2 linked regions of the Cricetulus griseus genome follow. The protein of the gene in region 1 purifies or fractionates together with the protein of each later gene. This does not show direct contact. Links are inferred from orthologs where the notes say so. Each region holds a gene or a part of one and is shown in the gene's direction. Other genes may lie near its edges.

Region 1 (8,032 bases):
GGCTTGCCGGCACTAGCGTCACTCACACCTACCACCTCTCCCAGTCATCCAGTTTCATACAGTCTCTGGTAATTGGGCACCTCCCTGACTCAGTTACAATCCAGGCCCTCTCTCAAGGAGGTTCCTCCCTGACACCCTCCAGGGCAAATTCCAGCCCGAGCTGATAAAACGGAGCCATAGGGCCAGTTTCTTTCTGTAGGGCTTGGGCCCCCCACCCTAGTGACATGAGGGTGAATGGCTTCTTAACTCTTGACTTGCTATGAGTCATCTCAAAGCTCAGGACCCCTGCTTCTGATGAGGTCAAGGGACACTCCATGGGCGTGGGTGGTAGTGGTGGTGGGGTACCTGCCTAGATCCAGCTAGAACAAAGGTTCCAATTCTCACACCCATTCCTGCTTCCTGCATCAACCCTCAAGCTTCGGTCCCCAGGGTGACAAGCCACCTAAGCCAGCCACCTTTCCCAAAAGTTCGACTGAGGGGTTCTTGTCAATGCTGGACTTTGAGTCTTTAAAGGCAGGGGGTAGGTTTGGATTTGATTACTTCCCTGCAGTCTTTATGTCCAGCTTAATGCTGTGGCATAGTAGGGACACAGGGAAGGTGTAGAATGTGGATAGGCATTTGGAGAAAGTTCACAGGTATCGAGAAAGGGTACTGGGGTGCTGTAACTTGGTAAGTGGAAAAAACAAAATCGTGTCAGCCGAAGGGAGTAAGGGGAAGGACACCTGGGCCAAACACCTGGTGTCATTGTCCTCTCCAGGCCACCAGTCTCAGCCAGAAACCAGCAAGCAGCTTTCAAACACCCTGAACCTATAGCCTGTCGGATCCCGAACCTCAGTTTCCACAGCTGAGGAAGGCTGAGGCCGGGCTTGGGTAGGCCGCCTGTGCTCACACTTCCTAGGGCAACCTGCAGCAGTGGTGCCATAGCGCACCCCTTAGGTTTCACTTACCAGGGTCTGCTCATACTGCAGCGCCCGAGGCTCCATCCCTTCCCCCGCCGCCGCCGCCGCCGCCGCGGCCGTGGCGGCCGCCATCTCGGTGCACTGTCCTCTTGCCTCCCTTGGCTTCTCGGGCTCTGGCCTTGACTCAGCTCCCGGCCCGCTGAGCCCGCGCCCGCACCCGTCCCGTCCCCTCAGCCCCGGCGGCCGAGTGCAGAGTGCGACGGTCCCCGGGCGCGCGCCGCAGGCTCAGCCTCTCGCTAGCGTCCCCTCCTTGGCGGGCGGGCCGAGGGCGGTGCCCTGCTTGCTGCTCCGCCCTGGCCCATCTGCAGGGGCGTCCGGTCGGGCTGGGGTCTGCATTGGAGCCGCCTCCTGGCCTCCGGAGAAGCGGCAGGGGGCGCTTGCAACGCGATCTTGCACCCCTTCTCTGGGGAGGCCGGGGGCTGACCCGGCCCCGAGAGGGTGCGGGGCCGGACGGGGGCGGGTCCGCTGGCACGTGGAGGGGACGGGCTCTCGGGCGGCTGCAGCGTTGTGCGGGAGGGGCTGAGGATGTAGTGACTCCAGGGCTGGGGCAGGGGGCTGCTGACGAGCTATCTCGGGCTCTCCAGGCCAGACTCGACTGGGGCAGCCTCTGCTTCGCGTTTGCTGGCGGCTCAGACGGGTCTGGGAGGATTCCTGAGAGCCCGCTCCCTTATCGCCTCCCTTCCTCCTTTCTTCTTTTCCTCCGGGTTCCCCCGGGAAGGTGCACCTGGAACTGCTAGGCCTGGAGATCGGGGCGGAGGTGGAGGTGGGAGGGGACGGGAAGGGGTGAGGCCCGAGGGAAGGGAGCTATTGGTGCGGGGGAGGCTGCTCCTGGGAGGCGGGCGTGGGGGAGCAGAGGTCGCTCCTCCCAGGCATCGCTTAAAGGGGGAACTTGAGTAGCTGCTGACGCCTCGAGGAAGCGGCCCAGTGAAGCTCTACGTTGTCTTTCGGGATCCTTGGAAGGATAAGAACAGTGTGGCGTTGGCACAAAGAGGATGGACAGCGTTAGGTTGGTGCCACTGGAGAGGACGGTGCCCAGAAATCCGTGTAGAAAGAACAGCATCAGGATGAAGACTCATTCAGCAAACAGAGGGTGGTGCTCAAGGGGAGCGTACGGTGCCCAGTACGGGGGCTGCGATGAAAGGAGATAGCACCTGGAAAGAGCGCGCTGCGAGCTGTCGTTTCCCAGGGAAAGGCCAGTGTCGGGTGGAAGCGCACTGGATCAGTGTCCAGAAGAGGGTAGTGTAGTGGGGTGACAGGCAGTACCAAGTTCAATTGGCAGTGTTCTAGGGGATCAGAGTTAGTGCCAAGCAGGGCCAAGGGAAGACCGGCGTGGCGAGGAGGTGAAGCCCCAGGCGAGGGCACAATGCGGGCTTTCCTTTCCCTGACAGTGACATCACGGCAAATTCCCAAACCGGACGGACCCGGCTCGGGTGACGTCTAGCTGGTCAGAGCCAGCTCGGACCAGCGTGGGGAACCTTGGTGGCCGTCCGAGGGGCTGGGCACTGCGTCCCGCTGGGCGGGCGCTCTGCGGGTGGAGTTCGGCTTCACCCTCCTGCAGCACGGACTGTGCCCTCGGCGGGCACGCGGACCGCAGGGAAGGGCTAGGGCCGGGCTCCCTCTGGGCCAAGGATCAAGGTTCCTGGCTGGGTCCGGTCCCGGAGCCTTCCAAGCATCGGGATCCGGGGTCTGAAGAGGGCGCCCTAGAGCCGGGCGCATCGCGGTACCCGCCGGGGGTGGGACTTAGTCTGTCCCCGCCTTGGGCGGAGTCACCGCGCTTTGAGACTCGCCCACAAGGTCCGAGCCACTCCGAGGTGGCCTTTCCCGGCGGAAGTGAAGGAGCCCCGAGGGGAGGCAGCGGAAGTGGCTGCGTTGCTGAAGCCTGTGCGCATGCGCCCTGCGGCTGGTTGCCGCTTTTTGGGGCGGTACTCTGCCCTGTCTTCTTTTCTCCACGTGAGGGGGTGCGCGAATTCCCAGTGGTGGCCGCGCGCTCCGCACCTCTGCAGTTCTCGTGCCCCTTACGATGGCGGGCATCCTGTTCGAGGATATTTTTGATGTGAAAGACATTGACCCAGAAGGCAAGAAATTTGACCGAGGTAAGGTGTGTAGGGGAGGTGAGGAAGAGGCCAAACATGCCCACCCACCCCAAGTGGCCCGTCCCACCCTCTCGGTACCTCCCTCAGGAAACAGTGTTTTTCATAATGAGAAACTTGGGACAGCTTTTCCTATGATGTTTGCGGTGTCTGGTGCCTCGGTGGCCCTTGGCTTTGGGGTTGGGAAAGCCCTGGACACCTTTCTGACTCCTTATTCAGTATTACGTGCTGTATGTACCGTGCGCCTCTCTCGCACACTTAAGTATTGTAGTAAGAAGTGATGGTGCCCGATCTATTTTGTTACTTAAGGCCGTGCAGCGAGTTACCTCCCTGTCTTCCTAACCCATAGTTTTGTATTGCCCCAAGAATTGTTAGCCCTTTGCCGAGTCCTCTATAAATTTCATGCAGCTGACTGCTTGGTGTATTCATTTCCCAGTAATCCGGAAGTTGTTTCTTCTCAGTGTCACTTTACCTGGAGACAGACCCCCCCCCCCCCAATACAGATTCTCTTTGTAGCTCTGGCTGTCTTGGAACTTGCTTTGTAGACCAGACTGGCCTTGAACTCAGAGATCCACCTGCCTCTGCCTCCCAAGTGCTGGGATTAAAGGCGTGCCCCCCCCATTTTTAAAGACAGGTGTCAGTTCTCAATACACCCTGCCTATTCCCTCCGCAGAGTGCCTACTAGGAAGTGGGGATCTCTGGACTAATGACTATCTTGTTCAGAGTTGAGTTTAGTCTAAATCATCCAGGTGTGCTTAGAGCCTAGAGACGGGTTGCTGCCAGAGAAGTTCTGCTTCTTTCTTGGGATCCTGACACTTGCTGAGGTGTTTACTCCCTTTCTTCTCTGAATCTGATTTGGATTGCACTCTGTGTCTGTGTCCCAGAGCAAGGCTAATGGCTGTGGACTAGTTGAAAGATTTGTTCTCCTGCATTCGACCCCGACTCTGTTGCCTGTAATTATGTCTGTCGCTCTTTCCCAGTATCTCGGCTGCACTGTGAGAGTGAATCTTTCAAGATGGACCTCATCTTAGACGTGAACATTCAGATTTACCCAGTGGACTTGGGTAAGTGTCCAACACAGGAGCTAGCAAGTGAATTTTTTTGTTTGTTTGTTTGTTTTTCGAGACAGGTTTTCTCTATGGCTTTGGAGGCTGTCCTGGAACTAGCTCTTGTAGAACAGGCTGGTCTCGAACTCACAGAGATCCGCTTGCCTCTGCCTCCTGAGTACTGGGATTAAAAGCATGTGCTGCCAACGACTGGCTTTAGCAAGTGATTTTTATCTTTGGTTTCCGCTTGATGCTCTTTTCAGGTGACAAGTTCCGATTGGTCATAGCTAGTACTTTGTATGAAGATGGTACCTTGGATGATGGTGAATACAACCCCACAGATGACAGGCCTTCCAGGTGAGGCGGTGGTAAAGGAGGGACTAAATAGATAAGTAGTACATAGAATGGTCTTTATTTTACTGCTAGAAAAAGACATTACTGCACTTAGAATTCACACAACCAGAACTGGGTGTGATGGTTTGTGTCTGTAATTCCAGAACTCGGGAGATGAGGCAGGAGGATGAGGAGTTCAAGAACACCATTGGCTGCACATCAAATCTGAGACCAACCTGGGCTGGAGACCCTGTCTCTAAAAAATTTGAAAAAAATTTCAAACAACTGGCTTGATTACTTAGTGAGAGCAGTGAGTGGAAGCTTGTGAACTGCAGTTGTTTATTTATTTGAGACAGGGTCTCACTTTGTAGTCCTGGTTGGCCTGGACTATGTAGACCAAGCTGGTCTCAAACTCACAGATGACATCCACCTCCTCTGCCTCCTCAGTGTTGGAATTAAAGGTATGTACCACCACACCCTGCAAATGTAGCTTTTTTAAGGCCTAGAAAATGATTACATAGTAACCTAGATTTTGGTGTGACAGAAAGACTGTGGAGTATTGGGTCTGGTGGTACACACACTTAATCCCAGCATTTAGGAGGCAGAGGCAGGAGACCTCTGTGAGTTTGAGGCTAGCCTGGTCTACATAGCCAGTTAGGACAGCCATGACTATATACTGAACTTTTACTTCTCAGCTCCACTACTTCCATCTTCCATTTCCTTATCAATAAAGTACAGACAGTCATTTCTAGTTCACTGAATTGATGTGAAAGCCAAATAAGGTTGCGCTTCCATGGCATTTGTTGTTATCAGTTTCTATTTTAATTATTTCTATCTTTTTGGTTTTTCGAGACAAGGTTTCTTTGTGTGGCCGTGACTATCCTGGAACTTACTCTGTAGACTGTCAGGCTGGCCGAAAACTCACAGGCCTCTGTCTCTGCCTCTGCCTCTGATTCCTGAGTGCTGGGATTGTGCCACCATGCCTGGCTCAGTTTCCATTTTTAAATGTCTCTTACACTATTGATTGCTGTGAAAAGTAACTTTGCCTATTGTTTGTAGGGCGGACCAGTTTGAGTATGTCATGTATGGGAAAGTATATAGGATTGAGGGGGATGAGACCTCAACCGAAGCGGCGACACGTCTGTAAGTAACATTGTCTGGCTGTTAATAATCCAACCTCCCTGTTGTGAAATTGGGTCATGCTTCTCCTTCTGTATCAGGTTCTTTGTTTTTTCTAGTACCCGAAGCCGGGGTGGAAGAATTTGTTTTGGGAACAGTTTCTAGTCTGAATTTTGATTACTTACATCACCTGCTATCAGGATTTCAAGGCCCTGTGGCCCACAGGAGACTTTGGTAATCTTGCTTCATGAGGGACAACAGAGAACATCTTGGGGGATCACAAGCAGCATTTCATGACTAGGCCTTTTTATTTTTTACTTGTGTATGTGTTGCTACTCTGTAACCCAGACCTTGGTTCTTTAGTTTCCCTGCCTAATTTTTCTTTTTCTTTAAAATTGGTTTTAAATGCCGGGCAGTGGTGGCACACGCCTTTAATCCCAGCACTCGGGAGGCAGAGACTAGTTCCAGGACAGGCTCCAAAGCCACAGAGAAACCCTGTCTTGAAAAACCAAAACAAAATTGATTTTAAAACAATATGGTTGTTAGAATCTTGAAGCAGAAAATTAATGTGAAAAAGAACAAAAGTCACCTAGGAGGACGTTTTTTACAATTTAAATAGCTGGTGTGGTGCACACCTTTAATCCCAGCACCTGGGAAGTAGAGGCAGGTAGATCTCTGTGAGTTCAAGGTCAGCTGGTTTACAGAGTAAGTTCTAGGACAGCCAGAGATAGTGAGACCCTGTTTTGAGAAAACAAAAACAAGCGTTGGAGTGGTCTAGCTGTCTTTTTTCTTTTCTTTTGTTTACTTTTCCCTTTAAGATCCTTTATAATGTTTTCTTTTTTTTTTTGTCTAACATACTTCCCTTGTCAGGTGAAAATTCCCCTCAATTTTATTTTATTTTATTTTATTTTGAGATAGGGTCTCTCTATGTAGCCTGGGCTGTCTTGGAACTCACTATGTAGACCCAGGCTGGTGTTGAACTCGGGAGCTACTTGACTGCCTCCTGATGCTGGGATTAAAGACATGTGCCACCCTCCTGATTCCTTAGCATTTTCAAAAAAGTATTTTTTTATTTGTGTGTATGCATGCACGTGGGTGCTTATATGTGTACCATGTGCAGGTATGAGACCACCAAGGTCAGAAGGGGGACATTGAACACCTTGAAAATGGGGTTACAGGTGGTTGTAAGGTGCCATGTGGGTGCTTGGGGGTGGTGAATCCAGGTCTGCATTCTTCTCTCCAGCCCCTACCTCAGTATCCAATAGCTGTATAATATTGCAATGAATGGTGACACCTTCATTTGTGTGAACAACATTGTAATGAATGGTGACACCTTCATTTGTGTGACTACTCTCCTATTTTGGGCATAGCAGCAGCGTTTACTCCTCCACTAGAGTAAACAACACTGCTTTGTGCATATCTGCATTCAGGTTTGTCCCAGTCTTTGGTTCCTAATGACAGAATGCTAGGGGAGTGCCTTTAAAAAAATGGACGGAGAGCTGCTGGGAAGCAGCTGCTTGAGAGCTCAGACTCAGGACCAGGGACCTTCTGTTTCAGCTCTGCCTATGTGTCCTATGGGGGCCTGCTCATGAGGCTTCAGGGTGATGCCAACAACTTGCATGGATTTGAGGTGGATTCCAGGGTGTATCTGCTGATGAAGAAACTGGCCTTCTGAACCTCGTGGGAAACCAGCCCTGCTGCTTAGTCATTCAAGTCATGGACACTGTTCGAACCTGAGTAGAAGCTGGCGTTGCTGACCTGTGAAAGGAACTGGCTCTGTGTCCACTCTGGATACAGCTTCAGTTTGTCTGAATTCAGTGGAAAAGTGACTTGTCTGTAGAAGGTGCAGCGGGAGAGCGCAGCATGAATCTCAAGTTGTGTATGATTTTTTTTTTTTTTAAATTAAAGCTTACTTTTTCAGACTCTTCTCTTGAATTGGGGGTGGGGTCATCCAGGGTTTACTTTTGCTGTCTAGCCTAGGCTGGACTTGGACTTGATCCTCCTGCCACTGTCTTCTGAGTTTCTGGGATTGCTCACACCTGGCTTATGCAATGCTGGGAGTCAAAACCAAGGCTCTTTTGTGTGCAACAAAGGAGGTATCTTCCCCCCCCAGTGTGTGTGTGTGTGTGTGTGTGTGTGTGTGTGTGTGTGTGTGTGTGTGTGTGTTTCCACCATCTGTGTCCTGGGGGTTGAACTGAGGTTCTCAGGACAAACTCCTTTACTCACTAAGCCTTTTTTTTTGCTGACCCCCAGTTGGTCTCTTGATGCCCTGGGTTTCTCACAGGAGCTGGTGGCCCTGCTGGGATGCCTGGGGTGTTTCCTTTCCCGTCTTTTTTTTTTTTTTTTTTTTTTTTTTTAGTCTTTACAAGAGGTGTTAGAAATGGTGTAGTGTTTAGGGAAATGGGTTGAAAATGAGTGGCCTCAGCGGGGAAGAGCAAAGGTTTTTTCTTTTTTCTTTCCACAGTAGGGTGTGTGTGACATATTG
Region 2 (7,606 bases), on another chromosome or scaffold:
CACTCTGCTGGTCTTGCCCTCATCTCATTCTTGGGTTACACTTACAGTCCAATTCTCCAATGGGAAGCTGCAGAATCCAGGCAACATGCGCTTCACCTTGTACAACAGCAACGACTTGGTAAACCCCAGGCTGAAGAATCAGCGGATCCTGGTAAGGGCTGCAGGTACAGGTAGTCTGGGCTCTGCAGGGCTCAGAAGGCCCTTGGTGTGGGCAGATATGGGAGGGCCTGAGGGGAGAAAAGGAGGAAAGCAAATGGGACTGTGGCTTCACCAAGGTGCAAGATTTTGGGTGAAACGATGACTTTTCACATATTTGGGAAAAAGGATTTCTCCGTGTAGCTCTAGCTATACTGGAACTCACTGAGTAGACATAGCTGGCTGACCTCCAATTCAGAGATCCGCCTGCCCCTGCCTCCACAGTGCTGGGATTAAGGGTGTGGGCCACCACCGCCCAGTTTGAAGCTTTTTAATTTCATGCAATCCCAGGTGGCGCCCCCCCCCAGAACTTTATCACTTTGAAGCTTCCTTATGGTATTTGGGGTCCCCCAGAGACACCCTAGATTCCTGTAGATATGATGGGGTAGGTCACCTGGAGAATATCTAGGGCTGGTCATTTTGGTCCTGGATTCTAAGACTTCTATACACGTCAAAAGGAGGCCATGCCCAGTGCTGATTGTAAATTGGACACTCCTTTGTTTTTCAGGCAGCAGAAACAGACAGGCTGTCCTATGTTGGAAACAATTTTGGGACTGGCGCCCTCAAATGCAACACTCTTTGCAGGTAATGGACAACTGGGCAGTGACAAAGGTGCTAGGAGGGTTGTAGTAGTGACAGAGACAACACTATCTTCAGTCTTCATTTTGGAGGTAGTTGAGATCTGCAGGTTTGCTAAGACTTTGTGTTTCTAGACTCACAAATTCCATATACTGTTGTGTAGACACCCTTAGAAAGGAAAAGATGGCTTGCGTTTGTCGAGTTCCTAAAGACCTCATTATGACATTATGTATGACTGTCCTATCCCAAAAGACAGCTATGTCTGCTGATTTAGAATGTGTGATCATCAGGTCAAAGCTTGCCTCAAGTTTGCCTTGGGACAAGAGGATTTTGTATCTTCAAGGCCTCTGGGTTGGAACAAAGCAGCCCTCCAGCACTGTCAGAGTGAATGACTTTGGCAACTTTGCTCTTCGCTCACCTCTGGTGTCTTCTGTGTCACAGCATCATCCAGCCTGAAGAATTTATGCATGCCAAAATTCTGTTTAATTTTAGATTCTTATTACCTCAAAAGGGTTTCCATTAACAGCAGTGGCTTTAAATTTGTTTTGTTTTGTTTTGTTTTGTTTTGTTTTCTGAGACAGGGTTTCTCTGTGGCTTTGGAGGCTGTCTGGAACTAGCTCTTGTAGACCTGGCTGGTCTCGAACTCAAGAGATCCTCCTGCCTCTGCCTCCCAAGTGCTGGGACTTTAAATGTGATTGGTTATCAGAACCATCTGGTGGCTTTTTCAGTCCACAACCATTTTATGTCTCCTTCCTCTTCATCACCTACTGTTTCCTCTCCGTGCAGGGATTATTGTTACATGTGAGCAAGTGGATGCCTTTTTCTGGCAGAAAGAAGCTAGGGATATGTGAATAGGAAAAAGAGAGGATTGTGTAAATAATAACCTTTTGGTTAAACTACTATTGTATCATTACTTTTTTCCTCAGACACTTTGTGGGAATTCTGAATAAGACCTCTGGGCAGATGGAAGTATATGATGCTGAGTTGTTCAACATGCAGCCACTGTTTGCTGGTAGGTTCCGGAAATGAATACTCTGTTAAATGAATATTCAGTTAAATACATCGTTTGGGTTTGTTGGATTAGTTCATTTTTGTTTTCTAGAAGGCATTTGTAATTTTTTTCTAAATGGCTTCCTCCACATATACCTTTTTGAGAGAAGGTCTCATGTAGACCCTTGAATTTTCTGGGTAGCTGAAGATGACGTTGGATTTCTGGTCCTCCTGCCATCAACTTGAGAGTGCTGTGTATGGTGAGAGGTTTATATGGTAAAGGGGTGTGAACTCAGAACTTGGTGTCTATTTGGCAAACACAGCTTATCCTCAACCATAATAGGATGCCTTCTTGCCGAGTGTTCTCATTTTTCTTTTTTCTTTTTAATTTGAAAAGGTATATGGATATATAACCTTTTGTGGGGCGGGGCGGGGGGGGGGGGGGGTTGAGACAGGATTTCTCTGTGTAGCTTTGGAGCCTGTCCTGGCACTCGCTCTGTAGACCAGGCTGGCCTTGAACTCACAGAGATCCATTTGCTTCTGCCTCCTGAGTGCTGGGATTAAAGGTGTTCGACACTACCACCCAGCAATATTTTTTTTAAATGAATCACTTATTGATTCCTTACATTCTTCAAGTACTAAACTAAGGACTGTATGACAAATAAGAGCCCATCTCTTCAGCATTTACAGATATTGTCTCAGAAACCAGCCTTTAAAGCAAGAAGAATAGTCATCAGTACAGAATATTAAGGGAGGTGTCTCATAGTACATTCTTTCCCACCACAGACTTAATTCTTCTTGTGTGGGAGTACAGGTGTTCACATGCCACAGCACACATAGGGAGGTCCTGACTGACCTGTGTGAGACACTGTCTGTTGGCTCTGAGTAGGCTGGCAGGCTACCCCTTGAGCATCTGGGGTTCTGTTGTCTCGGCTTCCCATCTTACTGTGGGAGCTCTTGGATCCTAGATGTGTGCCACCATGCCCAGTTTCACATGGGTTCTGGGGATTCACACCAAGGTCCTCGTGTGTGGATAGCAAGCTCTCTAACACACTGAACCATCTCCAATGGAGATGTGAAATTTTATTACATTGGTTTATCAGTGTGTGTGTGTGTGTGTGTGTGTGTGTGTGTGTGTGTACACCACAATGCATGTGTGGCAGTCAACGGCCAATTCAAGCAAGTTGATTTTCTCCTTCTAATATGTGGATCCAGGAATGGGAACTCCAGTCATCAAACTTGGTGACAAACACCTTTACCTGCTGGCCTTCTCCCAGCCCACCACATTTGATTCTTTTTTTAAAAAAAGATTTATTTTATTTTATGTGTATGGTTCTGTTGTCTGCATGTGTGTCTGTGTACCACAAGCATGCATTGCTCATGGAAGCCAGAAGAGGAGTTGGATCCCTTGGAACCGGAGTTACACATGGTTGTTACCTGTCATATGGATGCTGTCATATGGAACTGAACTTGGGTCCTCTTGCAAGGGCATCAAGTGCTATTAACTGCTGAGTCATCTCTTCACACTCTGGGGTTGTTTAACTCTTGACGAGACACATTTGTGTTTCGTGCAGTTTAAAGCCCTGGCTTGTTCTGGCTAGCACATGCACAACTTTAGTTTTGGGTCCTTGCTGTGTGCCCATCACTATTCTGAACACCTTTCATAAGCACCCATGATTACTTCATATGTACTCTAATTGCTTTTTTTCTTTGTTTTTTTGAGACAGAGTCTCTCTGTGTAGTTCTGGCTGTCCTGGAACTCCATCTGTAGTCCAGGCTGGCCTTGAACTTAAGGAGATTTGCCTACCTCTGCCTCCCTAGTGCTGGGATTAAAGGTGTGTGCCACCACCACCTGGCCACCTGGCTTTTTTTTTTCTCTCCTTGCGTTGAAACTTGGCTGAGTCAGTGACCTGCTGCTGAGCTAACTCAGGCAGGGCCATTGCAGAGCTTGTGTTTTTGCCCGCCAGGTTATGCTGCTCACTCCTTGAGTACTCTGAGGGAAGTTGGGGAGTGAAAACATCCGAATTATGTTCACACCTGCCTTTAGGTCTTTGACTAGAAAAGCAAATCTACTGACAGGAAGAACTGAGGACTTGGTTTCTGTTCCCTCTGGCCTGGCTTGGAAAATGCCTGGGCCAGTCACTGTGTCTGCAGGCCTCATTTTCCCTGTTTATGAAGTAAGAGGTTGGAGCAGAGGACACCCATTACCCAGTTCTCTTACTTGTGCACTGAGGTATACAGTCAGTATTCACAGTGTACATTCATGTTAGGGAAATCCGGAATAAGGAAATCTGTTTTCCTTAGATGAATATTAAATAAATACCAAGCACTATTAATATTTTTAAGGCCTTGCAGAGCTGAGCACAGTTGGCTGCAGTCTCCCCTACTTGTGGGGTTGAGAGCAGGGAATCAGTTGAGCTCACAAGTGTAAGACCTTCTTAGGCAACATAGTGAGACCCCATTAAAAAACAAAACAGTAAAATACTCACTTGTGAACCTCATGGTGTGCTTTCTTCCTGTTCTGTGTTTTTCTGAGTCTCATAGTGTGCTTTCTTCCTGTGTTTCTATAGAAGACGCTATTGAACAGGAGCCTCCTCCAGAGAACCAGGCCAAGACTTTCAGGGAAAAGGTGAGCAGTAGTTAGGGAAGCTCCTTCAGGGCCTGGTCTACCCATCAGTGTCACAGCGCCCTTGAATGTGGGCCTCTCTGGCTGTTCCAGTTCAATTGGTCTGTGGCTCTGCCTGGTTGCTACCTGCAGAGGCCTTCAGGTCTCCCAGAGAGCTGCTGCCCTGGCCAGGTGAACACAGCTAATGTTAGTATTTGCACCCTGTTCTCTGGGCTGATGGAGGTATAGCAGAAAACATCTTAGGTTTTGGTCCACATTGTAGAAAATGGTTGTACCTTGAGACTCATGCAAACAAAGTAAGTTCTTTGAGCTTCTCGGTGTAGATCAAGGATTCTTAGCGAAGTGATCTCACCACAGGGTGGCAGACTGAACCTGCAGTGCTGTTGGACCACTGCAAAGAGAAGACTCCTCTGTGGTTCAGGGAGACTGAGTGGTTTATTAACAGTGTCCTGTTACTGGAGCAAATAGCATATTGGCAGGCTGTGTGCCACAGATTTACCAACCCTAATTCCAGTCAAGTTGTCTTTTTGTACTGATGGAAAACTAACTATAGATTTGTAACTGGGAGTCAGTATTATCAAATCCCAGTTCTGATGTGGAACAGACCTCTGAGGTGGACAGGTATGAGAAGGATTGACAGATGAGGTAATCCTGGCTCAGGGAGCCCAGAGCATGCTTGTGCTTACATACGTGGAACAGTCAGCCTGCCCAGCCTGTCCTTCCTGATTGGATTTGTTTCTTACACAGTTGGATTCTTGCATTGAAGCCTTTGGAAGCACCAAGCAGAAGCGGTCCCTGAACTCCAGGAGAATGAACAAAGTTGGCAGCGAATCTTTGAATCTCACAGTAACTAAAGCTGCAGAGAACATCATTGATACAAAGGGTGTGAACGGTAAGCAGCTGGAGCTTGGGTAAAGAGTATGCCCACAAAGACTTGAGATCTGTCACTCACCTCCATATGCAAGTGGTGGGCTTGAAGGCTGGATTCTTTCTTGCTACTTGCTGAGGGCCTGCTCAGGAATGACTCTGGAACCACGAGAAACTGTGGCCATAGCTTCTCTGATGTTGTGTAGTGATTATTAGCACAAGTCTATTTTTTTTTTAATTTATTTATTTATTATGTGTACAGTGTTCTGTCTACATGTTGCCTGCAGGCCAGAGGAGGGCACCAGATCTCATTATAGATGGTTGTGAGCCACCATGTGGTTGCTGGGAATTGAACTCGGGACCTTTGGAAGAACAAGTAGTGCTTTTAACCACTGAGCCATCTCTCCAGCCCCCAGCACGCGTCTTTTTAACCCTATTCTGAGTTAGTTGAGAGCAAACACACTGTATCCACCTTCTGCATGGCTGGGACTCCTGGAGCATCAGCCTGATGGTCAGTTCAGATCTTGGCAGGTGTTCAGATTTGAGTTTTGGACCATGTGGTCTCCATTGCATAGGGTTCATGGCGTGTGGGGGAGCCTGCAGCCAGACAGGGGGACACTCATATGAATTTCCTTGAATTGAAAGCTCTGGTCAGCGATGCCATGCAGGATGACTTGCAAGATGACTCCCTCTACCTTCCTCCCTGCCATGCTGATGCAACCAAGCCTGAAGACGTGTACAGATTTGAAGACAGTATCCTTGCATTGGAAAGGTGCCTAATTTGCAGGCTATGATGTTTGTATCCATTGGCAGAACCAGGCTGTGTATGGGTGGTCATGGTCCTGTGACATTAATAAATGCAACATCCAAACTTTTACCACACCCCAGTGCTGTTAACAAGAGGTTGGTTGGTCAGTTCGGCTTCTTCATCAGTGGAGGGACCCACTCCTGGGACTCAAACCCATTATTCAGTAACAGGACAACGGGCACAGCTTAGCCCTGTGGGGGTCATTCTCCACAGATAGTCAGAATATAACCTTAGAGTTGGCTGGTATCAAAGTCTAGAGCAGACATACTGAAAGGAGGGTTGGAATATAGAACTCTACTGCTCATTGGGTCTGGCTAATTGGAGAGTGCTAACAGAGGCTCTGGTAATGAAGTGGAGGGGGGCAGTCCAAGTAGGAAGTGACCCCTAGGCTGGAGTCTAAGAATCTGGTTTCTGCGCTCCACCCTGCTTCCTCCATGGGCCTTAGCCTTTCATGCCTGGGAAATGAGGCCCCGTGAGATGACTTACCTCAGTGGGTTTCCATTTTGGTCAGTCATGTTCTTAACCTGCAACCAGTTCTGTCCCAGGCTGAGTATGATGCCCTTGAGAGCCCATCAGAAGCTTTCAGAAAGGTCACATCAGAAGACATACTGAAGATGATTGAAGAGAACAGGTATCCATGGGCAGAGGGAGCATCTGTGAGTCAGGAAACGGGAGTCGGACACAAAGCAAGACTTTGCTGATAGCACTCGGAGTCAGTGGGGAGGTGTCTGCTCAGCGGTGGGAGGAGGAGTGAGCTTTGACACTAGGCTTTCAGGCCTGGGCAGATTCAAGGAAGAGGATTGGCTCATGTGTAGCTGGAAAGATGGTGGCAGGGTCCTGTAATCCGGGGCCTGGCACCAAAGCTAGCCCCAGACCCCACTGTTGTGTTGATGTTGTTGATGATCACTGGCATTGGCATGAGTGCTAATCAGCGTGACAGATGTGACAGCATGCTGGAAAAGGTTTCTAAAATTAAATACACATTTTTAGATATTGTATATTTAGTTTAAATAACAGAGATTAACCCAATTAAAACAACTTTTTAAAAAAATGATGGTTAGATTATTTCTTAGTTCTGAGCCTTTTCTTCTCTTTAGGTTTTTCGAGGGTTTCTCTGTGTAGCTTTGGAGGCTGTCCTGGTACTCATTCTGGAGATCAGGCTGGCCTCGAACTCATAGAGATCCACCTGCCTCTGCCTCCCAAGTGCTGGGATTAAAGGCATGTGCCACCAATGCCCAGCCTGAGTTTTTTCTTCTAATTACCCCTTTCTTCTTTTTTTATGAGATTATCCATGTTTATGTGTATGTATGATGTGGGGATGGGTGCCAATAAAAGATGTCATTGCATCTTCTAGATCTGTAGTTACAGGCAGTTGTGAGTGGCCCCAGTGTGAGTGCTAGGAAACAAACCAGGGTCCTTTGCAAGAGTAGCGAGTGCTATTAACTGCTGAGCCATCTCTCCAGTCCTACTCTTTTTGCGTGCGTGCGTGCGTGCTGGTGGTGGTGGTGGGGGCAAGGTGCATGTACAATGGAGGTCTTAGG

The links.
Region 2: the proteins of Polr2h (region 1) and Polr1e purify together in Homo sapiens (affinity purification with mass spectrometry; 3 studies listed by BioGRID and IntAct, with this or other methods). This does not show direct contact. The link is inferred for Cricetulus griseus from reciprocal best matches to the Homo sapiens genes POLR2H and POLR1E.

The regions. Positions count from the first base shown.
Region 1 is NC_048597.1:67,929,562-67,937,593, reverse strand, and holds Polr2h (DNA-directed RNA polymerases I, II, and III subunit RPABC3), read left to right. Parts: upstream 1-2,637; 5' UTR 2,638-2,979; coding exon 2,980-3,052; intron 3,053-4,029; coding exon 4,030-4,113; intron 4,114-4,358; coding exon 4,359-4,452; intron 4,453-5,487; coding exon 5,488-5,571; intron 5,572-7,104; coding exon 7,105-7,222; 3' UTR 7,223-7,469; downstream 7,470-8,032. Other genes in the region: Clcn2 (chloride channel protein 2), read right to left, coding at 948-1,031. UniProt on the Homo sapiens protein: DNA-dependent RNA polymerase catalyzes the transcription of DNA into RNA using the four ribonucleoside triphosphates as substrates.
Region 2 is NC_048595.1:98,425,048-98,432,653, reverse strand, and holds part of Polr1e (DNA-directed RNA polymerase I subunit RPA49), read left to right. Parts: intron 1-47; coding exon 48-151; intron 152-703; coding exon 704-780; intron 781-1,700; coding exon 1,701-1,786; intron 1,787-4,334; coding exon 4,335-4,393; intron 4,394-5,137; coding exon 5,138-5,282; intron 5,283-5,902; coding exon 5,903-6,010; intron 6,011-6,599; coding exon 6,600-6,696; intron 6,697-7,606. UniProt on the Homo sapiens protein: Component of RNA polymerase I (Pol I), a DNA-dependent RNA polymerase which synthesizes ribosomal RNA precursors using the four ribonucleoside triphosphates as substrates.